2 linked regions of the Astyanax mexicanus genome follow. The protein of the gene in region 1 binds, or shares a complex with, the protein of each later gene. Links are inferred from orthologs where the notes say so. Each region holds a gene or a part of one and is shown on either strand. Other genes may lie near its edges.

What was found.
Region 2: the proteins of atp2a1 (region 1) and sarcolipin are in contact, whole or in part, in a crystal structure (PDB 3W5A), measured with the Oryctolagus cuniculus proteins. The link is inferred for Astyanax mexicanus from reciprocal best matches to the Homo sapiens genes ATP2A1 and SLN. Residues at the interface, in XP_069919846.1 of Oryctolagus cuniculus: Phe88, Val89, Leu96, Ala100, Ile103, Val104, Trp107, Arg110, Asn111, Asn114, Arg324, Lys328, Trp794, Leu797, Gly801, Leu802, Thr805, Ala806, Phe809, Trp932, Ser936, Leu939, Leu943, Leu946, Ile947, Val950, Pro952, Leu953, Ile956; in NP_001075856.1 of Oryctolagus cuniculus: Met1, Glu2, Arg3, Ser4, Thr5, Arg6, Glu7, Leu8, Leu10, Asn11, Phe12, Val14, Val15, Thr18, Val19, Leu21, Ile22, Trp23, Leu25, Val26, Tyr29.

Annotation. Positions count from the first base shown.
Region 1 is NC_064426.1:25,696,489-25,712,831, forward strand, and holds the start of atp2a1 (sarcoplasmic/endoplasmic reticulum calcium ATPase 1), read left to right. Parts: upstream 1-8,241; 5' UTR 8,242-8,373; intron 8,374-8,502; 5' UTR 8,503-8,522; coding exon 8,523-8,640; intron 8,641-9,236; coding exon 9,237-9,254; intron 9,255-9,893; coding exon 9,894-9,976; intron 9,977-12,216; coding exon 12,217-12,321; intron 12,322-13,792; coding exon 13,793-13,931; intron 13,932-15,527; coding exon 15,528-15,608; intron 15,609-15,815; coding exon 15,816-15,901; intron 15,902-16,306; coding exon 16,307-16,343. UniProt on the Homo sapiens protein: Key regulator of striated muscle performance by acting as the major Ca(2+) ATPase responsible for the reuptake of cytosolic Ca(2+) into the sarcoplasmic reticulum.
Region 2 is NC_064425.1:11,882,021-11,898,788, forward strand, and holds sarcolipin, read left to right. Parts: upstream 1-10,277; 5' UTR 10,278-10,439; intron 10,440-12,971; 5' UTR 12,972-13,062; coding exon 13,063-13,158; 3' UTR 13,159-13,574; downstream 13,575-16,768. Other genes in the region: complement C1q-like protein 2, read right to left, coding at 651-928, 1,044-1,175, 1,373-1,712. UniProt on the Homo sapiens protein: Reversibly inhibits the activity of ATP2A1/SERCA1 and ATP2A2/SERCA2 in sarcoplasmic reticulum by decreasing the apparent affinity of the ATPase for Ca(2+). Also inhibits the activity of ATP2A3/SERCA3.

The sequences.
Region 1 (16,343 bases):
TCCCTCACTATAATTAGCAAGTGTTAGCAACTGTCCCTGTCCCAAATGTTCTTACTGTAAGAGCACCTAACAGTTTTTCTCTCACTTTTCCAACACCTGATTTGTTCACTCACACAACCTGTTAAACCCCCCACCTTCTACAGTACTATCTAGTCTTCCTGTGAATGATCAGTGGACTTCAATGAAGTGATCAGACAAATATCATTAGGCTTATAAGACTTATCCAAGTCTATAGGCTGAGCAGGGGGTGGCTTGTGGGTCTTAAGTCTCAAGTTCTCTAAAGTCACAAACCTTTTTGTAATTTATGGTTGATCCTGTATAATTCATAGTAATTACTCAACAAGTCATAACAGTTACAGTGTCATTTATAGTGGCTAGTAAATATATTTCACATTGGTCACTGTAATGATTCATAGTAACTGGATAATTATAGAAGACATTCATTGTACTATGTTAATAAATCATAAGAGTTAAAGAGTAATTCATGGTAGGCACTATAAAATGTATAATATTTACTAAATAAATTCTTATACAGTACCAGTCAAAAGTGTAGACACACCTCTTCTCGTTCAATATGTTCTCTTTCTTTTCATGATTGTTACATTGTAAATGTAATATTGAAGGCAATAAAGATACACAGGTGCATGTGAAATTATTTTTTAACTAAAAAAAAGTGTTAAACAAACCAGTTTTAAGGACAGATCTGCACAGTCTTGGTATTTTCTAAGTGTCTTTACAGTAATTGTCTGGAATAGTTTTCTAAATTTCTAATTTCTAATAATTGTCATTTAGAGCATTTATTTGCAGAAAATGAAAAATGGCTACAATAACAAAAAAAGACATCAAATAATGCAAAGAAAACAAATTCATATTCATAAAGTTTTAAGAGTTAAGAAATCAATTATTGGAGGAAAAACCCTAGTTTTTAATCTCAGCTGTACAGTTCGGTTTGGTGGCTTGTGATCATCCATCTTCCTCTTGATTATATTCCAGAGGTTTTTAATTTTGTAAAATCAAAAAAAAACTTTGATCTCTTATTTTTGCTGTAATTCCATATGTGTCCCTTAATTGTTTTGATGTCTTTGATATTAATATACAATGTCCTCTGCTAAAAAAAATCCAGCTCAAGACCAACAGCTCATCTAGAAATAAAATAGAGAAAAAAACATACAGCTGGTCATAAAAAATCCCTATGCTGGTCAAAAGGTACTTAACCAACTAGCCAACCAGTATTTTTTACGACAAGCTGGTCTTAAGCTGGAAAACAAATTAAATAAAGAAATTAAGAAAAATACTAAAATAATTTAGTATATGAAAATCTACTGATTTTTTCATCAGGAAAGTTGTGTTATTTGGAATTTAGTCTGTCACCTCAGTCAGCTAGCTTGGTAGCTAAGTTAACTAGCTATGGATACATATATATATATATATATATATATATATATATATATATATATATATATATATATATATATATATATATATATATATTTTTTTTTTTTTTTACAAAAGAAGGCAACCACAGCCCTCAGCCACAGAAAAACATTCAGCTTCAGCAGCTTCAACATCCTGCGATAAAGAGAGTCACCAGTGAGTGGGTAACATGGTTAGCTTAGCATTATTAATAAATAGCTGCAGTTAGCTCACTGGCTAACATCAGAACTCTGGAGCTAGAGCTCTGGTTAGCATTAGCTGAGTTGTACTGTGTACAGTTGCTATATACAGGATGTGACTTTAAAAATCCTAAAAATTACAGTTACGGTGCTGAAACTAGGTCAAACATACATTAAAACAATTATTTAACATTATGAAGTATTAATTTAAACTCATGAAGTTCCTAAGTGACACATACTGAACATCCTGAACATATCACAGGACAGTGTGTAAAACTAGCTCTTTTAAAAGTGTATTTTTTGCTTTGTCAGCTCTGTTTCAACCATTTACCCATTCACACACTTTACTAAAATGTTTTACGTTCTATAGAAGCTGTTCTAAACTAATTTCTAAAACTAATAGAAGTTAAATTAGCAGTTAGGTAGGTAATTGTTGTTGTGTAATTTATGTTAAATTAGAATTTTAATCTTATATAATATCTACAGTCATTTTCCCACAATAATAATAAAAACAAACATTAATGAGCCGCTGACTGAATTTAACTGTTTACATTTTGAACTTCAGAAATGGGTCTGAAGTCTTGTCTTATTATAATCCCTCTATAAACTCTTACCTTACGTAATCAACTTATTTTTAACGGACTGACAGAATATTTTGAGTACATACACAACTGGCCTATTGGTTAGAACACCCCCATATTTTCCATTTTATTTTTGTCATTTAAGTTGTTCTTGAAATGGTACAAAATCCAGTGAACTGTAAAAAGATACAAGTTAGCTAGGGCTTTCAATAAACTTTTAATGAAAATAAATTTACTAAAAACTGAAACAAAATAAAAAAAAATGAAACAAGACATTTTTTAGGAAAGAAGTAATTTGTTTAATGACATAAAGCTGGTATAGATGTATAAAGATGTATAGCCATGTGTTACTGCACTCTCTACTACAGCATATACACAACACTGCACATTCAGATTTTCATCATAATAAGTAGAAAAATACCCAGAAACACAGATAACTGTGTTTTTAACTATTAAAAGTATTCTAAGTATTCTATAAATCAAGTGTAAGCCAGATAGCAGTGAGTACTCTTCCATTAAAAGACTCCTGGAGAAACTTGGAGAAAACTGGTATAGGAAAAGGTCTGGCTGTCCCACATGGCAGTGTTTAATATTGGAAGTCTCAGTTTCAACAGTGAAGAGAAGATTAGGTCTGACAAGTGAAGTGCAGTAATAAAATCATTAATACGATAATAAAACAGCTTGTCTGGATCATGCAGCAGAGCTACTGGACTACTAAACAGTGGGTGTGTTCTAAAACCTTTGACTGGTAGTGTCCAATTAGAAAGATTGTATATACAGTGACCCTATTAACAGGTTTAGTGCAGCATCTGTGATGGATCATCTGTTATCATCATGGAAGTAATGCAAAGAAGAACCCTTAAAATTCCTAATTGTAATTCAAACAATTCATTAAAACTTATACGTCAACAGTTTTTTTTTTAATTATTGCTTAAAGAACCATTTAAAGCACTTTTATTTTAAAGAATGTAGTATGATTCCATGTGTGTATACACGTATATACACGTGTATATATACATGGATCGTACTAGGAATTCTATAATTAAAAGCAATGTGTGCATTCCAGGCTCTCTATATGTGGATGTGTGTGTGTAGGTGTTGTTCACTGCTTGAGATTAGAAGGTCTCGCACTGGAACCTCAAACTCAAAGAACCAAGAATAGGGACAAGGTTGAGACAGTGTTGAAAGTTTAACACCATTCTTGTCTAACAACTGCAACAGGCACACAATCGCACACATCCACACACCACATACACACACTGTCACACATGCACATGCATAGACTGCGCAGCCTTCTTCCAATGTGACTCATGAAGGTCTTTAACTTGAGGGCAGAATCATGGAAGCCCAACCTGGAACATGTTCTTCAAGATCTGCAAAAAGAGACACTATAACTTCTTTCTTCCTAAAAATCACATTTTTGGAGGAATTTTAAAATTGTTCAAAAAATGTTTTTTTTGAACAATCTCAGATTGTATCCCAGGGGCATTTATGGGTAGCACAACCCGGAATCATAAAATTATGTCCACGGTTTCCAAGTTGGTCAGGATCAGTAATGGGACCAGGAAGTGTTAAATATGGACCCTTTCTAGATGCACTGTAATAAAAAACATGACAACGCTTAACGAAACCTTTCCTTCTATATAACTAAATACAAATCCCAAACAAGCCCCACAGCATTATGGGCCATTGTCACGTCCATTGTTAAAACGATACAATATGACAGGATTTTCTATTTTCTGACAGACAGAAAATGAATGTAAAACAGTAACTTTCTGTCAGCTGGGATGATAAATAAAATTTACACATCCTTCCTAAAATAATTATTTGGAAAAATTGGCTTTTTGCCTAAAACATCTCCTTATGATGCTGCATGGTCACCTGTATTAAAATCTTCTACACCCTCAGTAGATCACATCATTTATTTCTACCTCTTTAGGATAATAGCCTATGTAAGGAGTGTGACTTATAATAAATTATGACTTAGGCAAATAGCTTTCCAAGGTGGCAGCTACCTTCACGGAACTAATCGCTACAATTCAGGATTTATCTCCAATAAGTGATAAGATTTTAAAGGCTTTTTAAGGCTTACAGGCTATAAATATTGCAAGGTTGTTTTGTCCTATTATTGACATTTATTGAGGTTTTATTAGTCTGCATTTTAGTCAACAAAATAGCCATATGTCCATAGATGTAAGCTATAAATTCTCTACAATTTGTGACTGTTAAAATGCTAATAATCTTTTCAATCAGTTTTTTTATATTCTTTTATTTGGATTGTTTCTTGTTGGCTCTACTGCTCGACGCTATGATAAACTATCCATTTAAACCATTGTTCATTTTTAAATAGCCATAACAATAATTTTTTTGTGTTTCCTGAAAAGCTTGAACAAAATTACTTCAAAAGTAATTCATGTATTCCACTTCCACAACATTTTTTGTATAAAAGCACATGATACATTTTGAAAAACAGGCTATTCTAGTTATTTTATTATTGTTTTTTTTTAGAGAACAAAATCTGTAAAAAAAATCATCAGTCAAATCATCATCATTAGAGTCTTGGTTGAGCCATCTGATTAATCAAACTAAAGAACACAGTGATGTATAACTACTGTCCATCTCATAATACCCATCTCGTAATTACAGAAGGTCAGTGGAGTCGTGTTTGACATGGTTAACTTTAGACTTTGACTGGTTTAGTCCTCCAGTGTATCGAACTGGTCACTGTGGTCGCCACACTGGGGCTGAGTGTGACACTGGTGCCAAAGCAGAGACACCTGGTGCTGTCTGTGGGGCAAGGGTCAGCCAGAGGGCAAATGGTCAGATGTGAAACGTCATAAGGAGACAAGAATGAAAAACAAAAAATAGCTGAAACATTGCTGTGAAAATAAACAAACAAACAGTTTTTTTTTAAGAAAAAAGGAAATTTGGATATATGAGAAGATGCGAAAGAAAAAAGGAACACCCACAGACTTTCTCGCACATTAAGGCTGGACAAATTCTGTAGACAAAGACACTATGCGAGAACACCTTTGATTTGTTAAAGAAATTATGCGACCTTTTTAAGATTGCAAAGGCAAATTTGGTGTATTAAAAACATTACACCAAAATGAGATGAGAGATCTCTTTCTTACCTAATTGTATTTCTTTGTGTTGCTTCCTAAAACTTTATCATTAAACACATTTTAAAATTAAACAAACAATGGTCTAATCAGTTTGATTTTTACTCTTTAACTTTTTATTTCTTTAACAGAAATAATTTTACATTGTAAAAAAGTCATTTGAAGATTCTGCTGCTCCAGAATACCCTGTCCTCTGTTTATGTATTCAGAATTAATAATAATAGTAATATTAATATAAATATAAATTTATAATTATCTTGTTGCTAATAGGGATGCGCCAATACCACTTTTCTCTTCTGTTAGCAATACTGATGCCAGATTTTCAAGTATCTGCCAGTATCGAGTAGCAATACTGGTATCACAGTATAATAAAAAAGGCTCTTAGTCGTGAATGAGAAATGAGAACGTCGAACACCTCACACCTGGTCTCCTGCAGAGACATGTCTTTCTTTTTTAGTTAAGATAAGTAAGTAAGTAAAGAGCTGTTACAAAAGTACTCAATATGTCTCCAATATGACTTTTGATAAGCAGTGTGTGAACGGTAGAGATGTACACATCAAAGAGAGAGTGTGTGTGTGTGTTTGAATGCACAATGGCATGTATGGAGTGTGTAGGTGGGTGAGTTAACACTAGTCAGTGTGTGTACGTATGTGTGACGGGGGGCTGAAAGCCGATCTTGGGGGATAAATGAGTTAAATGTCATTGAGGTGCACGCTGACAGACCACGCCATGTTGAGGTCATAGTTCAAAGTACAGAACAGCTGCTGCAGCAATGTCTACAGTGTGGAGAAGATAGGAGTGGAAAACCAAAGAAAGAATAAAAGAATTCAAGAAATGAATAAAGAACGAAGAGAAAAAAGTAAAGAAATGAAGAAAGAAAGAATTTAAACAAGAAAGAAAGAAAAAAAGGACAGAGAAAAAGACAAGAGTCTTGTGAAAACTGAACCAAGGAAGAAGAAGAAAACCAACACAAACAAATGAACAAATAGTATAGAAAGAAAAAAAGTGAGGAAAGAAAAAAGAAAGGACACATAAAGGAACAAATATATAAAAAAGAAAGAAAGAAAAAAGGACTGAAGGAATAAAAAACAAAAAGAGAAGATGAAAAAGGAACCAAGGAAAGAAGGACTAAACCAATACAAACTATTAAGCAAAGAATATAGAAAGAGAAAAGAAAGAAAAAGTCATGAAGAAAGGTAGGAAGAAAGAACAGAAGAGGAAAAAAAATACAGATACACATCTAAAGAAAGAAAAGGATCCAGCGAAATCAGAATGACAGAAGGGAGGAATAAACAAATGCAAAAAGTTAAGAAAATAAAAAAAGAAATTAAGAACAGAAAGATAGCAAAAAAGAAAGTAAGGGAGAGAGAGAGAGAAGAGACAGAAATAAATGGATTAATTACACTTAAGTGTTTTGTCATAAAGGAGACGCAATGGAAAGAGTTAGCCTCTCTCGCTCTCTTTGCCTTTAAGACATATGGCTTATGCACAGTTCTAAATGGCACCTTCTCCTTTGATGCCCTACGGCACGTGTGTGTGCATGAGGGGTCTGTGTGTGTGTGTGTGTGTGTGTGTGTGTGTGTGTGTGTGTGTGTGTGTGTGTGTGTGTGTGTGTGTGAGGGTGTTTTGTTTTAAAGAGAGCTGTGAAATCCTCCTGGGACACTTGGTGTCTTCTGTCCACTCATAGGGAAATAAGGGCCCACTTTGCCTTAGTCTGTAATGACACACTTGTATCCTGTGAAGCCCTGTTTATTCCACAGGGTCCATCAAGCTACCTCAATGTGTAAGAGACCCCAGAATCCAGAGGTAACTTTGGGTGCTTTCACATCAACCTTGATTACTCCAGACTAGTCTAGGTCTGAACCAAAACTGCCAAAATCTGATCTGGCCAATAGAAGTGGTTTCACACTCTTGCAAACAATTGTACCAATCACAGATTGTTAAGGCAGGTCGTTGTCACCTATTCAACAACAGGTGATACCTGTATCTAATGTAGCTGTAGATTCATTTACGTCTAAGAATAAAAGGAATCCGATGGAAATCTGTTCTGCTCATCCTGCTGTGTGACGCAGAATTTTGGCAGATTTCAGGTGTGAAATCGCCCTTTGACTTAGAACAGGTTTATAATGGAAGCCAAAGGGAAATTATTACAGACCTTTTAATGTGTATCTCATGTCTCTCTCCCTCTTTATATCTCTTTCTCTCTCCCTCCCTGATACACACTTCACGCTTACACACAGTTTTTCCATGTCTGGTCATTTGGAGTGTTAATCCCCTGAACATAATGTCCTAACTTACATTGAGATTCATTGCCATCTCTTTCTCTCTCTCTCTCTCTCTCTCTCTCTCTCTCTCTCTCTCTCTCTCTCTCTCTCTCTCTCTCGCTTAGCAGAGTTATAGTTAAGTTATAATCTCTATTATTACATCCTATTGTCCTCATATTGAGCCCTGCTGACCCTTCCCTGCCCCAGTACAAGCAATAAGACACTTGACCCATCACTCATAATCCCCACACCACCCAACACTCACACTCTTGAACAAATACACACACACACACAAAAACACACACACATGCTCTCAACACTACAACCCTTCACTCCCTGCCATCCATCCTACACTGACCACCAGCATGTTCCAAAAACAGACACCATTTTCGGTTCAAGGCTGACCCCCTTCCCCCTCAATCCCCCACATACTCACACACACACACACACACACACACACACACACACACACACACACACACACACACACACACACAATGCCACTCACACCCACAGTTGTTGCCCCATTCCCCCATCCAACCACCCCAGGCCCGGCCCCTTATCTCCTTATACGTCCCACCTTATCCAATAGGGGTCCACGTAGGGGTGTGCCTGCAGGCCAGGGGGCTTTGGTGGGTCTTTATAAAATTGTATGGAGATGAGCAACAGTTAGCACTTTCTGTCAGTCCAGGGAGGAGAAGGACAGGAGAGAGAGCCGAGAGAGAGGGGGGAGAGAGGAAGACCGTTGGGGCCAGTGGTTTCGTCCCAAATCCCACTCTTTCAGAAAGTGTCGGTGGGTAATCTGTGTTTTTTGGTGGTGTTTTTTTTTTTGGAATTCTCTGGGTTCCTGAGCTGGGACCTTATTTTTTTCCTTCCGTACTTTACCGCTCATGCTCTCCTGTTGTACGTGTGTTTTGTGAAGTCTCCCCTTAAGCAGAGAGGATGGAGAACGCCCACACTCAGGAGTCGGCTGAATGCCTGGCCTACTTTAGCGTGAACGAGGGCACGGGCCTCTCACCTGAGCAGTTCAAGAAGAACCTGGCCAAGTTTGGCTATAACGGTGAGAGAAGCATGAACTGATCGATGTTGAATGTTAATACAAGGAAAGAAAGTCTGAGCTACTGGAGTCTAGAGTCTATGAGGAAGAAGGAACTCTCAGGCTGGTAAAAAGAGAATAGACAGAGAGCTGGATAGTGGTAATGATGATCCTTTTCCAGCTAAATAATTACCACAAGTTTATTTTATTTATGCCACTAAAAATATGATTGTATCATTTATTTCAATCACATATAGTTGTCTTTAACTACATACGAATAATTTATATATATGATATCAATATACATTGATCTAGATCTAGACATCTGATAGCAGTTCCTTTAAGTGTAATATATATCATGATATAATTGAGCTATATAAGGCAGAAAGGGCCTAGACTAAGGCTTTGTGTCAGATGCAAGGTCAAATTGAAGGACAAACAGTCATTTCTAGGCCCGTCAGCTCTGATTCTTGTAATTCTTGCATACACTGCACTGTATGAAGTCTCTCTGAGACGATGATTATGCTTATGGTACTGTACAGGTAATAATAATAATCTTCTCTGTCTGTTGTTTTGTCCTTTTTTGATTCCACCTTCCTGACTGCATTGACCAATCACAGAGCTGCCTGCTGAAGAAGGTGAGTTAATGAACTCAGCTGACTTATAATTGTTTAAAATACATTGGGCTGCGCCAAGAGGTTTTATCAAGATTATTTTATAAATTTGTATTATCAATTATTATTATAATTATTTTATTGTACCCGCATTTTTCTTCCAATTTTAGCTAAGCCAATTAGCTAAATGTTATTGTGTTAATATCTGCTAAACATAAAAAAATAGACATACTGTTGGGTTATAAATTAAGCTAAATTAACCAATGCTTATTTTTTTGAGCATTCAGTTTATTAAAACAGATTAAAACATATATCCAAAAAGTCTAAGTTTTTTTATGCAATTATATGCCAATACCAATATGATTTAATACACTGCTAATTTGCCAGTGTTAAATCAACACTGTTAGTGCATCCAAAAAAAAAGATGTATGCAAGAACAATGGAGGAACATAGAGTATACTCTATTTGTGTTTCACTGCCTAGACTCAGATTTCAGATTTAAGGCTAAGGTGTGATCCACTTACAGGCGACAACATTTGAAAATGTACTGCACTAATAATACTGCTCAGAACTCAGTGGACATAATTGACATATCACATTACACAAGATCATAAATACAAACTGTTCGTTCTCTCCCTCTCCCTCTCTCTCTCTCTCTACCAGGTAAAACAATCTGGGAGCTGGTGGTGGAGCAGTTTGAGGATCTGTTGGTCAGGATCCTGCTGCTGGCAGCCTGCATTTCTTTTGTAAGTGAATCTGTGTGAATCTCACATGATCAATACAGCAACATACCAATATCCTCCAAAGAACTTTCGTTTTCCTTGTGGCTGTTTGTGGGCGGGACCTGAAGGGGTCATGTGGTTGCAGGTGATGTGCTAAATGTGGGCTTGTGGTGTTCCTGAAAAGAGACAACACTTCAGTTTCACAGTTGGGGGTCACTAATGCTGTTGTGAAGGACAGGGGACACATTCTCAAGCCCTCCTGTCAATCTCTGAGAGAGCCCCTTCACCTTTCAGCCTTGAGTAGTGCACTGTGGGTAAACTGTAAATTCATTTGTGAACCTGAAAGCATGGCGAGCACCAGGAGGTAGTAAAAATCACGACCCAAATAGAAGTCATGCTTTGAGTTCCATGTCCCTCAATCTAACTCGTTAATCACTTTGCATGTAAGGAAAAAATGCAGCATGCAGAAGACTAATTGAATTTTATTCGGATTGTAAAATCAGACAGACATTGGATTTTGGATACAAAGAAAAAATGGTTTGATGTGCAAATACAGCTTTTCTAGTCCCCATGGAGAAGTATTGCTTATAGAATAGGGCTAGAATGCAGAGTTAACATTAAAAAAAGTACAATAGGAAATGCAAATATACAAATAATATTCATTCAAAATAATAATTACAATATAAAATATGAAGAGATCAAATAATAAAGGACAAAGCTGATCACTCAATTCAAGGAGAATAAGAGCAGGAAAAATCATAATATTAAGAAAACTTTTTTCAGTACTGGATTGATGTTGCATTTTATCTGGACATTAGAGACAGTTACTCAAACAAAAAGTAGGATTATACTTTTAAAAAAGGAATTACATTTAAATTACAAAAAAAAATATGAATGAGCAGGTGTCTGAAAACTTTCGTCCATAAAGTTTTAATGCAAAACAGCGGTAAAAAATTGTATTGTGCAAATGTTAACATTATAAAAATCCAACACATACCTCACAACTAGGATATTGTTTACACCTGGTTACAGTATCTGGAATATATTCTAATAGGATTTTAACTAAATGCATTTACACTTGGTGGTCAAAATTGTCTCAACATTTGTTAGACTGAAATCCGATTGAAATGTACAAATTCACTCATTTTGCACAAATTAATACTAGTGTTTTAGTTTACTTGTACTGGGAGAATACTCAAGTGCTTTGAAGTGGTTTGATCAATTATTAAATGCATCTTTGTTGCATTTATACTTGCATTTTATGTAGTTGGGTATTGATGTCAATGCATTTCTACATCAAATTAAAATTAACCCAACCAGACATCCAAAATTAATCACTGTTGGTGGCCAGCTTAAAACAAACAGTTTGACAGTTTCAGACGCTATTAGTGCTTATAAGGCTTGGTCACATGTTTGGCGCATGCTCTAATTTAGCGCTGTGAACGAATGTGAAAGCCATAGAGAGGTTTATTTCATTCTATGGTCTCCTGAGTCTGCTGAAGTGAAACATTTATTTTTGGGCTGTTAATCAGTACGTACATCATTCTACGCTGCACTTATTACTCTCATAACTTCTCCTTTAATGATTGTTTGATTCCTCCTTAATAGCTCCTCTTAATGGCATAAGTATATTCACAGCAAATGCAGCTCATTACTGAAATACTTTATCTGTAATTCTCCCATGAGGTTTTGATATAAAAACACTTCCCATCCATGTCAGGCCTTTAATCCTTCTCCCAGCCACACACACTCTCACACACTCACAGTCATACACTCACACACTCATACACGTGTCCACTTGCAAGGTTGTTTTATAGAGAGTTGAGTTGAGGGGGAGAACATGCAGCATTAGTTCTGCTGTCCTGCGTCGTAATAATTTCGCTATAGCCCTAGAAGGCTAGGCCTGGTGGGAAGAAAAGCAGATGGAGAAAGACAGAAAGAGAGAAAGTAAGTAAGAAAAAAGGAAGAAAGAAAATACGAAGGAAAGAGAGAATGTGTCAGTGTTTTATTAATTGTGTATTCTGTATTTTTATTTTCTCCAACTGGGTAAACATCTCTGCTCATCACATGTTTTTTAAATGACTGGAGCTAACTAAACAATTCAGCCTAATAATTTCAGAACATTTTGTGGGAACATTAGAGAAGATTCAATAAATTCTTCCCTAAAGATCTAAAGTAAATCTAATAGAATTGAATCAAATAAATTTGAGATTTACACCTTTGCTGTACTGTTTTTTTAATATAGTAATTTTTCTGCCCGTCAGGTCCTGGCCTGGTTTGAGGAGGGAGAGGAGACAGTCACTGCCTTTGTTGAGCCTTTTGTCATCCTGCTCATCCTCATCGCCAATGCTGTGGTCGGAGTTTGGCAGGTGAGTTTTTTCACAATGTCAATTACTTTACATTTTACAGCAGAGAAAAGGGTTTTGTTTGACCTACACTTGTAGCCCATGCACAGAACAAGGCCTGTTAAGAAGTTACCAATCTAAGTATTTACACACATCCGATCACAAAACAGCAACACAGAAGAAAAGAAGTAATTCATGGAAACGTTTTGAAGTTAGGGACGAGATGAACAAGCCAATGCCTTAGACTAATAGAATAGAATCATATAAATCACCAGAGTTATATAGTACTGTTAGCTCAGTGAGCTGAGCACAGTTTCTTAAAGGAGAACTCTGGTGTAAAAATTGACTTTTGTTATAGTAAAACATGATAAAGAGTACCAAACTTTGTTGAATAGCCCACCTTTGTTCTACCCAAGCTTTCCGAAATCCAGCTATTTCTTGCAATTTGTCCACAGGCTAGAATGGGTTTTAACGGGGCATAGTTTGCTCCTGCAGATAAATTGCTTTTTACACCATTATCAGGGCTCAAAGTAGCTCCACATCTCATTGTTAGAATCTAAAGAGCCCTGATATTTAAAACGAGGCATTATGAACTTTAAAAGTGAAAAACCACGGTTTACAACCCGTAGCGTTAGCTACATCTCCGGGCACCGCCATCTTAAAGTAATGTCATTAGATGATCATTAGAGTGACAAGCATATAATGTTGCAGCCTGGAAAGGCACAAACACGAAACATTCTACCTTCTGTATGTATACAGCATGTACTTCTGTTAAATTTACGTGCTCATCACTCTGTACTTTAAGATGGCAGCACCCGGAGATGTAGGTTATGCAACGTGTTTTTTAATAAACTTCTTGTGCACTTTTAATGTACTTAATGCCTTAAATGTCAGAGCTCTCTGGATTCTACCAATGAGGTGTGGAAAAAGCGATTTATCTAAAGGGGCAAGAATATGGCAAAATAGCTGTCTCTCGGAAAGGTGTGGGAGAATGGAGGTGAGCTAATCAACAAAGATTAGTACACTTTATCATGTTTTACTACACCAAAAGTCAATATTACACCAGAGTTCTCCTATACATTAAAAGTCTAAATGTTTCAACTGTTCAACTGATACAAAAGCATGGCCTCTTTGATGCCATCTTACCATCTTTGACTTTTGTATAATACATGGGCACAGTACATGGGCAGTGAGATGCTTGGAAAGAGGCTCTCTCTTTGGTGTGCAGCAGAACAGAGCAGTTGGCATTAAATCAGGGGTCGAGGGTTAATCCCAGCAGATCTTTAAGCCCTCCACGGCCTGCAGCAGTGCTTTGCAGAGTGGCCGTATCGTCACGTTGCTCAGGGCTGGTCAGGTTTCAGTAGGGTCCACATTGATACAACAATGCTCACTTGGAAACTATGTGCAGCAGTGGAAGGAGAAGGCCTCTGGGCTGTAAAGAGATGGGAAGAGAAAATAGGATCTGATTGTGGCCTGGCATTTCCTTCCTCCACAGGAGCGCAACGCAGAGAGCGCCATCGAGGCACTGAAGGAGTACGAGCCAGAGATGGGCAAAGTGTACCGCGCCGACCGGAAGAGCGTGCAGAGGATCAAGGCCAGAGAAATCGTTCCTGGAGACATTGTAGAAGTGTCAGGTAGATGCACAATCAGCATTCACACTAAAGCAAAAAGAGAATAAAGCTCAGACTTCTGAATGAGTCAGTAGGATTGACTGACTGATCCAGGCTCTGCCCACAAATATTGACTAATAATGAACTCCATATGTTCAGGAGTGATGTAAATTAAATGATACTGGAATTCTTCTTAAAACCAGTCTAAATATATGATTTTTTAAAACATTGCTATACAAGAATATCATAAGAATATTCCAATTATAAGTAACTTATTTTTACTTGTTTTAAACAGTTTTACCTACTGAAATTGTCTTATTCTACTGCTAGAATACTTTGCCTCTTTTAAGCATAATGTCTTGACAAAAGCGAAATTATCTGTTATGTCTTTAAAAATTAAAAATGATTTACCAATACTATAATAGCCAGTACTTTAAGAGCCAATACTTTAAGAGCCATTACAATTGTGATGCCTGCCTTTTTAAGTCTGGTTAAATCAGATTTTTTTCTATATCAAAACAAACTAAGATCAATATACTGTATCACCACTATGTGTCACAAACAAATTCTTTATATTTCCCCCATTTAAATTTGATAGTTGCTGATAAAACAAACCAATTTAAATTTTCCAAAAGTACTTGGAAAGTTTTTTCTATTATGATGATTTCCATTCTGGAGATACAAGGTTTTTGGCAAGAGAGCAAGGATATACATACATGACCAGAGCAACTATTTAGAAGGTATTTTTTTTATTATTTATAGATATAATGAGCCACCTTCAGTGTGATGTGACGCATCATGATGCCCCATCAAATAAAGATTGAATGGCAAGCATCGGCACCTGCTGCCAGTATGTCTGAAGTGTGGCAAGACACAAGAGTAGAACAAAGCATGTTGGCCAGCTGTCATACTGCCATATGAAGGGAGGGATGGAGGGAGTGAAAGAGAAAGAGAGAGAGAGAGAGAGAGAGAGAGAGAGAATTGTGTGTGAAATGTGTCCTTGAGAAAGAGTGTGAACAGGTATCCTTTTATGGCAATCGCTGTGTGTGTGTGTGTGTGTGTACATGAGAGAGAAAGAGAGAGAGAGAAAGAGAGAGAGAGAATAAAAAGCACAGGGATCACAGAAGGTTGAGAGAACTCATCAAGAGTGCAGGCAAAGGAGTGCTGGTGTATAAATACAGCCCAGCACCTGTCTTCCACTTGCCCCCTGTCTCAACCCCCTCTCTCTCTCTTTCTCTCTCTCCCTCTTTCCCTTTATCCCTCTCTCCTTCTCTTTCATTCCCCACCTGTTCCCTCCTCATCACTCCTTCTCTCCACTCCAGTCAACTTGTTTACAGTGTTTAAAGGGTCGCTGTGTCCTTTCTCTCTCACGCAGCTCATCACTTTAAAATGCTTTGAGTTGTTGGGCAGGAAATTATAGTTCTTCAATGAACTACTTATGAGTCAATTCAGGCCATCTGATTACTTAATTGATAAATAATTAATTTATTAAGAGTTCGGTGAAGAGGACTTTTACTGGACAAATCCATTTAACTTTAACACTGATACTGAAAAAAGGATACATGATTTTTTAAATTTTGCAACACACGTTTCTTTGTGTTCTTGTTCTTAATCCTACAGTTGGTGATAAAGTGCCTGCTGATATCAGAATCACCTCCATTAAGTCCACAACTCTGCGGGTTGATCAGTCCATCCTTACAGGTAAATATTAAAAAGAAATATTATGCATCGAAATAGTATTTCTTTTGTTTATTGTGATGTTAAAAGACGAAAAAAAATAATTTGACTATACATTTTATTCTATTCGATTAAGTAATTATTGTAACATGTAGAGTAAACATGAGTAATAGTAAAATAATTTAAATCATAACTCTCTCTCTCTCTCTCTGTCTCTTTTTGTCCTTTTAGGAGAGTCAGTGAGCGTAATTAAGCACACAGAGTCCGTTCCTGACCCCAGAGCCGTCAACCAGGACAAGAAGAACATGTTGTTCTCTGTGAGTTTTCTTTTTTTTTTTTTACCACCACACCTCTATCACTCACATCATCTCCCCTTCCATCATTTTCATTACAAGATCTAACTTCACTTAATTTACTCACTCTAACAGCATAGCATTTTCACTTTACCTGTTAGAACCTGTATGCAAGCCTATACTACAGGCCTTCGCTCTCAGAACCAGTTGTATAATTATCAACATCAGTTTAATTGGCTCTAGAGTTAAACCCTGTGTAATGCCACAAAATATTCCATATCAACCAACAGTCACCAACAGTTCAAAACAGTTTCTGCATTACGATTAATCGCTAAATAAGGTAGCAAACACTGTAGTTTACTGTATAAAAGCATGTGTGTGGTACATGTGTTCATCCGTGTCTTACTCTCCTGTCTTTGCTTTTACCAGGGAACCAACATCGCTGCAGGCAAAGCTATTGGTGTGG
Region 2 (16,768 bases), on another chromosome or scaffold:
TATCAGTTATCACCACTTAGCTTCAGTGAAAAGCCCCTACCCTGTGTGTGTGTGTGTGTGTGTGTGTGTGTGTGTGTGTGTGTGTGTGTGTGTGTTTTGAGAGTGTTTTGAGAGCTGTATTTAGCACACTAGCCTGTCAACACCTCTCCCTTCATATCAGTCTTCTTTATAGATCCCGACATACATGATCCAACTTCTAAAGCCTGCTGAATGCCTAAACTGGTTACAACCTATAGAGACAGAAGAACTGCAGTCTAATTTTATGGTTTTAGGTGTTAATTAGGTATTGTCTGCAGGGTGATGTTCACACTCTCTGTTTTGACCAAACATTCAACAGTTGCACCCAGAGGGAGTCAACCAACAAGAATGAAACCTGATGGGTGGTTATGCCAGAATTTTATGGACTGACCTTCACGGACAGTCATCTTTAGTCATTTAAGTATAATACAATTTTACAATTATTTTACAATAATACAATTTTCACTGTCACAGTTCATAGATTTTTCCTTTTTTTATTGAAGTCAGTTTATAGTTTAGATACAGGTCAATAACTCATTCTTTGGTTATGTTCTGAACATGAGTACAAGCATGTTCATAAATACATTTACTAATAAAACACTGCACTGACAAAAACAGCAAAACATATAAACTTAAACATAAAACAGCATTTGGCCACTAAAGGTGCTGTGGTGTAATCCACTATCATACAACCACTTTCCAGCTGGTAGTTTAATATAGACATCATCTCCTACTTCCAGTAACAGTGAGACTCCTTTAGAGGAACTCACACTGCCCTTGTCTTGAATAGTATGTGTTCCAGCAACAAATTGCCCTTTCTTATATAAGTTCACTCCTACTGTTCTTCCAGCTCCTCCATGGATGTCGAATCTGAATGCATACACTCCTCTAGAAGGTGCAGTGAAAATACCTGTATTGGTAGAGAAGTATACACAACTGTAAACATATACACATAAATCATCCATACATGTTTTCTTGTGTTTAATTTTTTTTTTTCTATACATTTTTGTAAATGAATAGCTTACCCGTATTTGGGTTGTAAGCATTGCCTATGTTGGTGAAGATGTGTTTGTAGACCAGAGTGATGTCAGTGCTGTAAGGTCCAGTATTACCACTTCCACTTGCTAACAGTGCAGCTGAAAATGCCACTTTTTTCCCTATAATAACATAATAGTTCACACTGTTGTTAAAATCAAGTAATTAATGAGATGTGTTGCAGACTTTGCATTAAATGGTTAATAGATGAGTTAACAAACATTTTTTACAGTAAATGTGAATAGAATGAGAATTGAAACATTCCTTTCATCCATGATTTACACACACACACACACACAAAGCATGTTCTATGAATCACCTTGATTGATGTGACTCTCCTCCTCTACCTTCTTCTTCAGCTCCTCCACTTTACTCTCACTTGCTCTCAGTCTGCTCTCCAAGTTGTTCACCGCAATCATTGTGTGTCTCTGATCAAATTTCAGCTCTGCCAGCACAGCGCTCATTTCTCTCAAAACAGCGTGGATGTCTGACAGGTAGATTTGTTGGGTGGAGGTTGTTGTTGTAGCTTGAGTTGTGGGATGCTCAGCCTGAATCTCGTTTTCTCTGTCATCATTATGACTGATGCCATTCACCCTGACCGACTGTCCCTCCAACAAACTGCAGCCCAACACCAACACCAACAGGTAAACTGGACTCATCTTTAAACAGTCCTGTCACCTAGTGTCTTAGTGATCGTGATGTGGTAGACACAGTGCTACTATGTAGAGTACACTGGTTAATCATTTACTGTATTATCAGAATTTCTGATCTGTAATTTGTACATGAGCATGTAAATTTTTAACAGCTGATAGGTAAAATAAGACAATAACATACAGTGGGAAAAAAAGTATTTAGTCAGCCACTGATTGTGCAAGTTCTGCTACTTAGAAAGATAAGAGAGATCTGTCGTATTCATCATAGCTACACTTCAACTATGAGGAAAAAATGAGAAATAAATACAGGAATTCACACTGTAGGACTTTTAAAGAGTTTATTTGTAAAAAATAGTGGAAAATAAAGATTTTGGTCACCTACAAGATTCTACAAGCAAGATTTCTTTATTTAAGAGGCTCTTCTGTCCTCCACTCGTTACCTGTATAAAAGACACCAGTCAGGCTCCAAACTCAACCTCGTCCAAGATAAAAGAGCTGTGGAAGGACACCAGGAAGAAAACTGTAGATCTGTACCAGGTTGGGAAGTGTGAATCTACAACAGGGAAGCAGGTTGGTGTGAATAATTCAACTGTGGGATCAATAGTGGGAAAATGGAAGAAATACAAGGCCACTGATGATCTCCCTCGATCTGGAGCCCGATGCAAGATCTCAGCCTGTGGGCTAACATCCCAGAACTACACAGAGGGATCTGATGAACGACCTGCAAAGAGCCGGGACCAACGTTACAAAGGCTGTCATCAGTAACCCACTACACCAAGAGAGACTCAAATCCTGCAGTGTCAGACATGTCCTCCTGCTTAAGCCAGTACCTGAAGTTTCCCAGAGGTCATATGGATGATCCAGAAGGGGATTGGGAGAATATCATATGGTCAGATTAAACCAAAATAGAACTTCAACCTCAACCCCATAAAAAATTGTGGAGGGAGTTGAAAGTCTGTGTTGTCCAGCGAAACCCCCAAAACATCACTGCTCTAGCGAAGATCTGTATGGAGGAATGGGCCAAAATACCAGCTACAGTGTGTGCGAATCTGGTGACCCACAGGAAACATTTGACCTCTTTCATTGCCAACAAAGAACTTTTGTTATTGAACAAATTTACAAACAAATTCTTTAAAAATCCTACAATGTGATTTCCTGGATATTTTTTAAATTTTGTCCCTTATAGTACCTAGGATAAAACTACAGACCTCTCTCCTCTTTCTAAGTGGGGGAACTTGCATACTCAGAGGCTGACTAAATACTTTTTGCTCCACTGTATATAGTTTATTGTGGCTTTGTGGTGTCATCAGAAAAAAAAAAACATGTAAATGTCGATTAGCGTCACCTCAAAAGTTTTATGAAAACTTTTTGTTCGCATTTTTAGGATTTGTAATTGCTACAATTGAGACTGAGAAAATTTATTCTGCAAAATTTCATTTACAATCTCAGTGTGTCTGGGTTTGTTTGGTGCTCAGAAACTCTAAAACTCTGATCCTAGAATCAACCCCTGCTGTATATTATGAACACGTAATCTAGCAATGTAATGTTTTAATATATTAATCACCCTCTTTTACTTTTAGCTCAATCTCAACATTGGATTTGAACCCTCACACATGTATATGCAGAAACTGCAGAGTATGGTCTGGTCACTTGATCCACAAACAAAGGTGATACAACACATTTAACACAAGTGTGCATTGAATGGGCTTTCCGTATATATGGATATATTTAGGCTGTGTGGTTTGGTAGATCATAATACATTGGTAGCAGCAGATGAGAGCTTGTTTACTATAAAATGGGAGTTGTGCACCTATATTTCATAACTAAGACTTAACGTTAACTCCAAAGCAATGGAGTCTGTAGGATGATGTGCTGAATAAATGTTTAACTAATACTAATATACTAATGATAACTCAGTATCAGGGTCCAGAAAAACATGCTATAAATAAAATCAAAAATACTGTTGTAAAACACTCATATAAATTTAATGACTGTAGATGTAGTTGTTTACTGGCAGAATTCAAGATGACCCAGATTTGAGCATGTGATCATCTGAAAGTGGAACATCTCAACAAAAACTGATGTGTGAGTAATGATTAATGAAACATACCAGTCGTGCTTATTTTTTTTATAAATGTTCCATAAACTTAAAAAACACTTTTATTGTGGTCATTTCTGCCTCTGCAGTGCCCAGGCCCCCAGCTTTCCCCTTCCAAAACGTGCCACCGGAAGTGTTTGGCAGTTGTAACATCTGGTATTTCTTCTTTTGCATTGTTTACCACACCAAACTGACCATTACTCTCCTATTAACATCCTCTAGTTACGAATGAATGAATTAATGAATGAAGTTAGACTTATTATAGCGCTTTTTTACATACCCAAGGATGGTTTAGAGTCATGATTTACACACAACCATTTATACCCATCCACACACACACTGTTATGAAGCAGCAGCCAATCATGCACAACTTACTCCCAAATGGAAAAAACCTTAAACCTGGAGGACTGCATCCAGCACTGAGATTTTAGAATATGCAATTAACCTGATCTCCATGTTTTTAGACTTTAGAGCGTGACAGAGGAAATCCACTCACATACAAGAACATGGAAACTCCACCCAGATAGGAACTTGAACCCAAGATCCCAGTACTGGGAAGCAGATGTGCTAACAACTAACCACTGTGCCGCCAAGTTATCACTTTTTCCAGAAATTGCAATCCCATATATGCAATCCCTATATAACCCTATATAAGGTCCTGTGAGCAATGGACAGCAGGCTAAGGTGAGGATTTTATCATTTGCCATAAGAAAAGACTGCAGCAATTCACACTCTTCCAAAGAGCTCTGATGGTGTTAAGAGGAGCAAATTTCTAACTGACCCTAAGAAGCAGGCATGTGAAAATTTACCAGCTATGCAAAAGGTTACATTGCTCTGCAAAAGAATCTCCCGGCACACGAGCAAGCTCTTCCCTGCTTGCGCCATCCCTCACATTTATCTGACCCCTGATGACCCCTGCTGTCAGCTTATCAATCACATTCCTCTTTTCAATGTTTCTGGCTGAAAGAAAGCCGATCAGGCCGCACTAAAGACTGTTCAGCTGTCATCCAGGGTCAAATACTGACAGCCAACAGAAGCCTCCTCTGCTTTATAGATATAGGGCCTGGCGCCATGACAGTGCTGCAGGCTTATGAAAATCCTCAGCTGCTGTCTTACAGCATAATCGTTCCAACCGTCCATAGCACAAACCCCAAAAACTGAAGAATCTCATGCATTGCTGATGATGTTAGATATACAGGAGATTCTTTTCCAAAGAATTTTTTAATTCCATCAACTTTTATCAGCAATTATTCAAATGATCAATAAACACAAGTGACCCAGTTACACTGGCATCCACATACTGTATGTTATGCCCATGCCATAACCCTCCACCATGTTTGACAGACCATTAAGTGCTTTTGAGATCGTCAGGGTCTTTCCCAAGAAATATCTACGTATTTAAAGTAATTTAAAGATTTTTTCTTCTCATACTATTATTTTATCTTAATATTATTTTAAGATGAACTTCTTTATTATATTAAAATTAATTACAATATTTGTAACCACAACACCTGTTATTAGCCTCCAGCTTTTACTAATTGTAGATACTGTAACACTAGCCTATATAACAGTTCCAAAATGAGACAGTGTACAACATAAGCAGGGCAATAATGCAGAGAATTTAATTAATCTTATAATATTCCTATAATTATCTAATGATGATGAGTTTTTCACATAGACCGGGGCAATATATCTTGACTAGGGCTGCAAATAATGACTATTTTAGTAGTCGACTTATCTGATTATTTGTTTGAGTTGTCGATTATTTTTTGTCATGCCCTCCATTTTATCTCCTATTGGTAAGGACAGCTAAACATTTAGGCCCCAAGAACAATTTTGCAGTACATTTTGATAGATTTACTTGCTTATATTTAATATGAAAAAAAAAAATTAAAGCATAGATGGGATTTGGACAGAGACACAAAAATTACATCTCTGAAGAATTATCTTAATAATAAGAATTATAATTATCTTAATAATTATATTTCATTATAAAGTTTATAGTAGAGAGTGTCTTTTATAATTATTTTTTAACTAAATACCTTACTTTTGCAATTAGGTCAATTAGGTCAAACAAGACACTATGCTTAATAATAAAATGTATTGTAAAGTTATTTTGTGAGCACATTTATACATGTAATTTCCTGTGGACAGTAATGGCACTCATTCAGTGGAATGGCCCATAAACTGTATATTATGTCTTTAAATGTCATGATATATTATATTTTACCATTTTGCCAAACAGTGCATAATTATGTACACAACAGGTGGTGCCTTTAATACTGTTCATATTAATATCAGAATTATATTGTGTTTTTACCAAAATGACGAAATATCGTAAATCATAATATGAAATTAGGGCAAGATGATGTGGCCAAAAATCTAAAAATATGGCCAAAAATAAATCCAAGGCAAAGGGTAATAGTAGGATAGAGGAGGAAAAGAGGGGGGAGCAGGAAATGAGGATAGAAGTAGTTAGTTTGTTAGAGGTGTTAGGAGAGTAAGTGCTCTTTGAAGAGCTCTGTCTTCAGGAGTTTAAAGATTGTTGCCACTGGAGGAGCGCAGCGGCTGGGACATAGACAGTGAGTGCAGGTAGGAGGGAGCTGCTCTGTGATCACCTTGTAGAAAATCGTAAGGGCTTTGAATTTAATGTGAGCTGCAACTGGTAACCAATGGAGCTCAGTGAGCAGTGGGGAGATATGTGCCCATTGGCTTTGGTTGGTGAGCTGCTGCCTTCTGGACTATCTGAAGTGTTTTTTTTACACAGGCCGGAAGGCCCATTTGCACTGCATTGCAGTAGTTGAGGTGTGAGATGGCTTGTATCAAGAGTTGGGTGGCCTGTTGTCAAATTTGTCTCATTTTGTTTAGCGCAAAGTTGCAAGACCGAAGAAACTGAGGAAACATGATGTGTAAAGGAGTGATGATCATCGACCATAACACCCAGGTTCCTATAGCAACCTTTTTTTGGGGAGAGTGAGAGTAAGTCAATGGTTGGTGATAATAGGAAGTATTGTTGAATGGATTGTTTAGCTGGAAGAACCAGTAGTACAGTCTTGGATAGGTTTAGTTGAAAATGGTGTTTAAATTTACCTATTCAATGTATGTAGGTAACAGGTCAAGGTTATCGGAACCTGAAGATGTTTTGCCACTTTTCTCAAGGGGCTTAATCAGGATTATACCAGATTTTTTAAAGTCCAAAACCACCTTCACAGACACCCAGCACTGGTCACATCTCTGATACAAACTGATACACCACTTTTCAGTTGTGGACTAATGTTACAGAAAGCATCTGCCAGATGCCCGTGCCAGCCTAGCCTGCTGATGTGAGATTAATGTGAGGTAAGAGGATCGCTGTTGTTGCCAGGGCACATCGGTATGTGTTGTGCATGTTAATTACCAAACACTAAGAGGGATGCTAAAGCTAAAATCTTTAAATACTCTGTGAGTGTATATTACATATAATGTGTGTTTATACATAAAAGTACATAAAGGCATTTCGTTTTTTATTGCATCTAAACAAGAGTTAACCTTGTGTTAGTGTTATCTCGAGTTGGTTCACTGGTGCAGACCCTTATTCATCCTCTGCACCAACACCAGGAGGATGAACAATGCTTTCAGTGGAAGCGCCACAACGAAATTCCACTTATTTAAACAAAACCCTCCCAACCAAACAACATAAAACTCTCCAAATAAAACAAAAAAAAAATGTAGAGCAATTCCAAGAATTCAAAACACTATTTGAGATGGTTTTAAATGCATATCTCGTGTTAGGAAAAATGAAATATGAGTGTGGGGTGTTGTCTTTGGCTGTTGAATGTAACTAATAAAGTAACTAAGTTACTTTTTAAAGAAGTAATCAGAAATCAGATAAGTATTTCAAGATAACTTTGCAATCACTGATCGATAATGTATCAATATTTTGTGCAACCCGTTATCAGAAACAGTTTCTTTTTTAGTTACACATTATCCTACAAAACACCTCCCATTTCTGAAATCAAAACTGCACACACACACAACCACAACATTCTCTTTTAGAATTGGAGGTAAGACAAGTTATCCAGTTCTTTCATGGACAGATTTGGACATATATCTTCTATCCCCTTAAAAGGCCAACAATACTAACACCAGTCCCTATACACATTCTTTCAATAAAACCCTGAAATTCTGCACCTTTTCTGTGTTTTTTCTTCTTTATAAACATGTACTTCATCCTGTTGATCCTCCAGCAATCAGCGATTGGAGCTGTGAAGTCTATTTCCATTGCTTATCTGGGTTAATAATGTTAACAGCTGTTCGGGACACAGCAGAAATTCTAGTGGGGCTGATAGACCTTCTGGATCATTCCACAGCCTACACATCACCAGCACCGTCGCTCCAGAGACACAGTTACACTCCTCCACAGCTCACGAGGGGCTATGGGAGGGGTTTTACTCCTCTGGTTCATGTCTGGTATTAGATATGTTGCCAGTAGTTTCATGTTTATCTGCTCCAGTTTTATTCTATTGGCAAAACTTCTGTAGAGGGACTAGACAAGCTGTATGTGTACAAGCTGTATTGCACATCTGTGTCATCAATAGGTACAAATTAAGGCAGTAAATGACATGTCTCTCCAAACCATCACTGATTGTGGAAACTTCACACTAGACCTCAAGCAGTTTGGACTGTGTGTCTCTCCACTCTTCCTCCAGACTCTGATCCCTTGATTTCCAATCGAAATGCAAAATTGACTGATGATCAGTGATGGTTTGGAGAGACATGTCTGTCATCTGCTGGTGTTGGTGCACTGTGTTATATAAAGTCTAAAGTCAGTGCAGTGTTTTCCCAGCAAATCTTACAGAACTTCATGCTTTCCTCTGCTGACAACTTTTATGGAGGTGCAGATTTCATTTTCCAGCAGGACTTGACACACTGCCCACACTGCCAAAAGTACCAAATGGATTCATTTTTTCCACCCAGGAATAGTACTGCATTCAACTTCTGTTTTAAAGTACAATAAAGTTCATCTAAGTCCATCCTACTGCAAGTCACATGGAAGAAGCGTGCAAAATGCCAGAACTGAATAACATGCGTCTCATATATGAGACTGGGGATCCCCAGTCTAATCCAGAAACAATGGAGGTCTCCGGTTCCACAGGGAACATTCCAGAAAGCAGCCTACAGTAAATCGTCAGTCGAAATCCTTTTATGATCCCAAAAATCCAGAAAATCACCAAAAACAGCTGAGTCAACATGTGCTTTAGGTATAGATATACTTGCATTTATGCTCTTGTGAAGACCTCACACTGAAATCTGAGGATTTCCTGCAGTCTCCTCTGGAGATCCTCTCAAGCTGTCAGTGTGGATGGGGACCACAGAAAAGGTTTTTCTTTTTGCTTTAGTCTGTTTTTAATGTGTTTTGGCCATTTTGGATGGTATTGACACACGGATTCTTCTTTACACGATCCAGCTTTAACCTGCAATTTGTGGTTTACAGAAAGGTGTGAACTGTGTTCACAGACAGTGGATGATTTCTGGAAGTGTTTCTGAGCCCATGCAGTGATTTCCAGTACAGAATCAGTACAGTCTGTATTTAATGAAGTGCCATCTGAGTGCCTGAAGATCACCAGCATCCAGTACTGACTGACCATCAGCCTTGGCTTTCATTTAGTCTGTGTTTATGGTAGTAGGTATTTTTTTTTAGAATATCATGTTCTCTTCTCACTCAAAGATACTGCTACTGCTGCTTTACAGCATAGATTTTGATATTATACAGCTCAGTTATTATACTTCAGATTCTGAATCATAACGGCCAACATTAACAATAAAAATATTGTCATTTAGAACATTTATTTGCAGAAAATGAGAAATGGCTGAAATAGCAAAAAAATGCAGAGCTTTCAGACCTCAAATAATGCAATGAAAACAAGTTCATATTCATTAAGTTTCAAGAGTTCATAAATCAATATTAGGTAAAATAAACCAAGTTTTTAATCACATTTTTCCTGCATCTTGGCATGTTCTCCTCCACCAGTCTTATACACACTGCTTTTGGATAACTTTATGGTGCAAAAATTCAAGCAGTTCAGTTTGGTTTGATGGCTTGTGATCTTCCATCTTCCTCTTGATTATACTCCAGAGGTATTCAATTTGGCAAAAGTAAATAAACTCACCATTCTTGAGTGGTCTCTTATTTCCAGAGCTGTAAATTTATCTCAACTGTAGCAACAAAAGCATACTTTAGACTTTTTTTTTTACTTAAAATATAATGTGTTGCATGTATTAAGGTAAAACTGATTTTTTTTCACAAATCAACGCAAGATGTTTCCACCTTTCCTGAGCACATGAGGTCCTCACAATGTGGCAAATACATGCCAATACACACACACACACACACACACACACAGTTTTATTCCCCTGGACAGTGGTCTTAGATAACTGCCCTGCCCTGGCCGGTGACATCACAGCAGGGCTGTATAAAGGCCTTGTTTGGGAGGTGCACCTTTGCAGGGTCACTTCAGGCAAAGAAAAATTTGAGGGGGGCCTGAAAAATCCATTGAGAGAGACAGAGAGGGAGAAAGAGAGAGAAGAGGCAAAGAACGAGAGTGAACGAGGGGGAGATACTGTCTGCGGCTGGGGAAGTTCCTGCAGGTGTGCAGGTAAGAAGGAAATAAATAAAGAGATTATTAGGTATAATTGCATACTATCATGTAAACTGTAAATGTATAGAAACCAGACCACATTGCTGGTAACTCTGATGATCTTATTCTGTATAACAAAGGGAACTCTTGCTCTTCCTTTCCTGGGGCAGTCCTGATGAGAGCTTTATAAAGTATTTTTTTTTACTTAGTTGAGTAGGTCTTGCCATAATATGTATTAGAACATTACTCAAATAGAGCTATTCACTGTACACCAACTCTACCTCTTCACAACTTTAAAACTGATGCTCTCAAACCATGCTCTCAAAGAGTCAAGAAATTCAAGTAATTAACTAAGAGCACAGCTGTTAACTGAAAGCCTGAAATTCCAGGTGACTCTACCTCATAAAGCTGACTGAGAAAATCCAGCCAAGATGTGCAAAACTGTCATCTAAGCAAGAGGAGCTACCTCTAAAATATAAAACATATTAACATCCTTTTTTGTTGTTTACTAAATAATTGAATATGCTTTTATTTATAGTTTGCATAAGTTTGGTATTAATCCAAAATGCAGGACATTTTAAAATAATGATGAAAAAAAAAACTGAATTTAAAGTGTGTGCAAACGTTTGACTGGTACTGTATAATTCAGATAAATTATTTGAAATAGATTAAAAACAGGATAAAAGCTTAAGTGAGCAGAATGGAATTAATATAATTGCACTCTAAAGAAACAGATAAACATCTAATAATAAGTAGCCAAATAAATAAACTTATAATATTTGTAAAATGTAAAATATATATATAAATAAATAAAATAAAAACATGACAGTAAAATAAAACAAATATTGTACTGAGAACTGCATTTAAACAGTAAATATCTTATGGCTGTATATGATGCACTGTGCTTTATAAGTGACGTGCATTGTATCTGCAGTGTCGTAGTTACAATAACAACCAAATTCTCACTCCTGCCAATCGAAAAAACATAAGAAAGGGTGTTGTGGCACGTTAGGAACCGGAGTCAATCTTTGCTCAAGAGTGACTCAGCAGGATGTATCACTATTTAAAGAAACATCTCAGTAATGACCTAAATAGCTGCCTCGTGTGGGCCATCCCAAAAGCAACTGCAGACGTTTTAGTCTAGGAATAAACAATGATGACTATGTCTAACATTTACAACAAGTTTCAGAGTTCCAGCTGTTTAAATCACTTGTTTTTACTGATTGTCTAAATTATTTAGGCTCATTATATCTAGAAATGAAGTACTAATGAAGTAAAACAATGGTTTACTTGTTTCTGTTTACCTCATCCCTTATCAACAGCAGAGAGGTTCTGGGTGGTGTTCAGCAGTGTTTATGTAAGGGTGGGCTGTAGCCAGAGAGCTGTCAGTATGGGGGGATTGTAGCCGCAGTTGAGCAGATGAAAGATGAGAATTTGAAACTCAGAGACAACAGGTGGGTTTAAACCTGGACGTGACTTTCAGAGCGCTTATTAATCCAGCGTGTGTGTGTGTGTGTGTCTAACTGTGGAAACATTTTAAACCCCGCGGAATGTAAACACGGAGAAAAAATAATAATTTATTGAGTAAATTACATTAAATAATGTTGATAAATGTTTTTTTTTGGTGGACACCTGGAATTGAAATGTGGAAAACAACAAAAAAAAGTTCATCAAACAAGCCTGATTTTGACCCAAATACTCTGAACACTGGTCAGTGTCCTGCATGTTCCAACACCCTGATTGCCGAGTATAATATGTCAGTCAGCCTGAGCAAAATGTGTCAACACCCCGGTTGCAAAGTATAGTATTGAAATTGCCCTGGACTTTTGCAAACACACAGGTTGCTAAGGTCAGAGTTCTCAAGTCTCACGCTTTGAGTGTGTGACACACGCACCTCAGCGAGTTCACACGCTCACATGCCACACATGGTATTTCTCACGCTTGCCAATCCATCGGCTGTATATTATAATGTACTCTCGCTGAGCCAATCAGAATATAGATTGCTCTGTTGTTAGGCAGACCTAGTCAAAGAGGGTGGAGTTTCAGCCAGAGTGTCAGGTGTGAAGAACTGTCCGATTCGAAAGTTCTGAAACACACGTCGGTGAACAACCGAAAGAGAACGTCGGCAACGTTTTTTATTGTTTGCACATTGTAAATGAACATATGTATTTTTTAGTTATTATTTTTGTTAGTGAACCTTTCTGAAGTTTAGTGATTACCTGTTCAGGAGAAAACTAGCCAGCTGGCCTGTATCCATGGCTGCAGCACACTGATTGCGTGCTGTTGTGTTCTTTACCTGCCAACCCGGGTTGTGAAAATTGGACTTCGGAAATGGCGGTGGGCAGATTTGGAGCCTCAAGCTACAGAAATTACCATGACATACTAGCATACTCAAAATGTTTCCTTAAAATCTGTTGAGAAGTCCTGATCATTTTATGAGCTTCTACCGAAAATATAATGTTTATTTGGTCCTTTAAATTGACACTTACTTTATATTTCTTTCTTTCTTTCTTTCTTTTTCTTTCTTTCTTTCTTTCTTTCTCGTTATAGTGGACTGCACAACAAATCCCTTTCTTCTAATCTCCCATCAACATCCCTCACAGATTTCTCTTAATCAGTACCTCTGTCCTGACTGCGAGAGATGGACCGGTCTGTACAGGAGCTTTTTCTGAACTTTATGATCGTCCTGATCACAGTGATGCTCATGTGGCTGCTGGTCAGATCCTACCAGGAGTAAAGGAAATGAGCGAGCGATGGGCTCTAGCTGCTTAGCACTGCTCTTGCGATGTATGTCTGGGAGGAAAGCATGCGGCACTGCCACCCCCACCCGATCAACAGATGGCGATACTTGGTTTGGAAGCGAGAGAGAGAGAAAAGACCTTTGGCTGACTGCTCAACAACACAAGACATCGGCTTCAGAATGTAGTGGTTAAAAATATAAAGAGAAGAATGATGATATGGATCTTAACTTTTTGTTTTGGCTGCTTTGGTGTACTTGTTTTTGGCTTTGGTTTATCACAGCACTGAGCACATGTTAACTGCAGTCACTGCCAGATTGCTTTAACATTGCAGTTTAGGTAATGTTTAGGTATCTGGACATTTGGACGTGCTCAGACAAAAATGAAATAAAGAAATAAACAGTATTGTCTGTGACTCAAAGAGTCTTGACTATTTTTTTTTACATAGATAAAGCTGTAAACCTTTGCACAAGACTAATAAATAAACACAAGACTCAAACTACAGTCAAGGCCAAAGGATCAGACTTTTGGACCAATTACCAACGGTGTCCAAAGTATTCCCATTCACTCCTCTGGTAAACGCATTGATACAAGAGTTTAAAACACGTCTGTAGAAGTTGAAGCATCAAATCAAGCTTTTTACTCCTAATATAAAAGTGTTAAAGTACTGGTTGCAAAACTAAACTTAACTTAAAAGTATAAAAGTAATGCAAGTAATAGTAATACAAATTCCATTAAGGACATAATCTTAGGCAGTGCCACAGAGTCCTATAGTGCACTACCCGCCCTCCCCAAAACACATTTCTCTAAAAGCCATAATATTGACTATAATGTTATATTAAAATGTCAAAGTTGATAAATTTGGGATGCACTAGGCTCCCTGTTTTAGCTGCATAAATGTCCAATGTCCACAAAAATGAATGTATTTTAGTAAAGTAAATATATTAAACAAGCTTAGTTAGACGTTTGGCTCGAGTCTCTACACGGATCATCTTCATACTAGACTACATACATCTGCTATGTTCTTGCTGGAGTGTGGGTGTGACGTGTGCAGGCGTGATGGATCACAGTATAAATCAATAGGGTGTTGTAATGGTACATTTTTATACTTCTCTACATCCAACCACAATCAGATTCACTCCATCTGGGTGGACAACAAATAACAAGGCTATTTTTAAAAAGTAAGTAGGAGAAAGTTCTCTTTTTTTGTTGTTGTTGTGCTGCTATATGTAGTGCTTGTACACTTTTAAAATTATACAAGTTGAAGCACCTTAAGCTTCCTTGGAAATTCCTCAAATCACCTTAATTCTATTTCTCAAACTTTAAACGAAATTGTATCACCAATGATCAAACAAAAACGTTTAAGTAGCACCTACTGGGGCTTCTGTGCGGGCCTTACCTAATTTACAATCTGCAAAATCTGCAGTATGCCTACTGAGACAGAGGGAAATAACAGGAGTGTGGGGGAATAGGGAGTAGTGGACTACAGAGTCTACATGGCACCCCTTTAAACCTTAGCTTAATTATTTTGCTATTATTACTAATACAGACACTATGGTGAATCCTGGAGTTCCACAGGATACAACTGTAGGGACTCTTACACTGTAAATAACTGAAGTGTAAGTTTATATACAGTATCTACCAGAGTGAACACTGAACACAAAGAAAAGTAAACAATTAAAGGAAAAAAACTGATTTCAATCTGAGGCCATCTGGTGTACCACCCTAAAATGCAGTGGTTCTCCAAAATACCACAGTTGGAGAAGCACTCCCTGAAGGGATTCCTCCAATGTATCAAAACTGAAGTAACCCTAAAAGTCCAGATGACTTACTCCTAAAGCTTTGCTTGCCATTGTTGCCACAGTGCTTAATCAAAAGAGGCTTATACTATCAATTTAGTTAGCCTACCAGTTTAGTTACTTAGCTAGTTAATCAAACAGGCCTGAATATATATCAGCTACCGTGTATTTAACTACCCTAAATGCTTGGTAGGCCCAACATTACTCTGGATAAGATGTTGTTTTCACAAGGTGTCAAGAGACAAAACACATGTATTACAGGGCCAAAGATATGTGGAGACCTACTCACCCCAGCGTTCCTTCCGAAATCAAGCCCTGGATCACAACACATCCAACTGGATGGAGCTCCCTCATTCCAGAGATTGCAGTTCTACTGCCCCACAGTGGAAGCTCTGGGGCTTCAACCTCTACAGCCGAGGGTTATTGTTGGGAATAATAATGGTGGAGCTCTACCAAAGCATCCAGTTTTATAGACATAGTCTTTACTATATTAATGGTGGATGCACCTTAAGTTATTTAATAATAAGAAGCTTTTCCAACAAATGTTTGGACATACAGTGCACAACATGAACAGCAACACAAACAGCAGCTCTGTATGGTATTTTATTTCAGTGAGAAATAAAAAAGTTTAACAACAGCAGTTTTCGGTTTATTCATTTTTATTATGCATGGATGCAGGTGCAGATTTACACTCACTGTCTAAAAAAAGGGAACATTTAATGCCCCTAAAAGCTCTCTTACAGATTTTATTGCCACTAAAATGGTCAGAAATGAACTGCCTCATATCTATGGCAGAGTTCTTCAGTCCTGGTCATGGAGCCCACCATCCTAAAACATTTTAGTGGTTTCCCTGCTTTAACACATTCACCACAATTCAAAAAGGGCTTTATATGAAATGATTGGCTCAATCAAGTGTGTTTGGAGAAGCGAAAGCAACACATTTGAAGGATAAGGTGGCTCCAGGCCCAGAACTGTGTTTGGAATTGCTCTACTTATTTTATCTTATTTACTATATAGCCATTGCTATATATAGTCATTATATATATATATATATATATATATATATATATATATATATATATATATATATATATGTGTGTGTGTGTGTGTGTGTGTGTGTGTGTATTATTAGTTATACAGTGATATTGTGCACACCCCAATGTAGGGTTTAATTAACCAACCTAGAGGATTGTAGGTCAGTATGCTACCAATGAACCAATAGATCTAAGTGCAGCTGTGTGAGTGAGTGCAAGGTGCAAGGTGGGAAATAAAGGAGAAACTTCACAAAAGAAATGCCACATGGCATGTTCAAACAAAGAAGAACATGGATCTAAAGACCAGGATGTTTAATTTAACATAAAAAACAGCTTTTTTTGTTTGTCTTTGGTAGACTCTGTGTTCTCTTTTTGTTCTCAATGTCTTGTCTTGTCTTGTCTTGTCTTGGCTTGTCAGCGCTGATTGCTGCTGAGGATTCTGGGGTTTGGAGTATTTTGCCCCATACCCACCAGTTCTACCACTCTGCTGCTTACTTGCTTGCCCTCTGCTGGTGACTGGTGGTATAGGCTGCCTTCTTAAGTTGTAGTCTTATATGCAATGGTATCCACACCCAACTTTTGTACTTATGGCTATGTAGCATATAAATTACATTTTACTCAAGTTACATTAAAGACATTAAAGTGCTTTACATAAAGTGCTTTTTCATTACAGCTTCATACCTATTATTTAATAGCTGTGAAGGTGCACAAACTTGCCTTAGTTGCCTTATTTTTTAAATATAGTTTTTTTTATTTAAGTAATTTAATTAACGTGT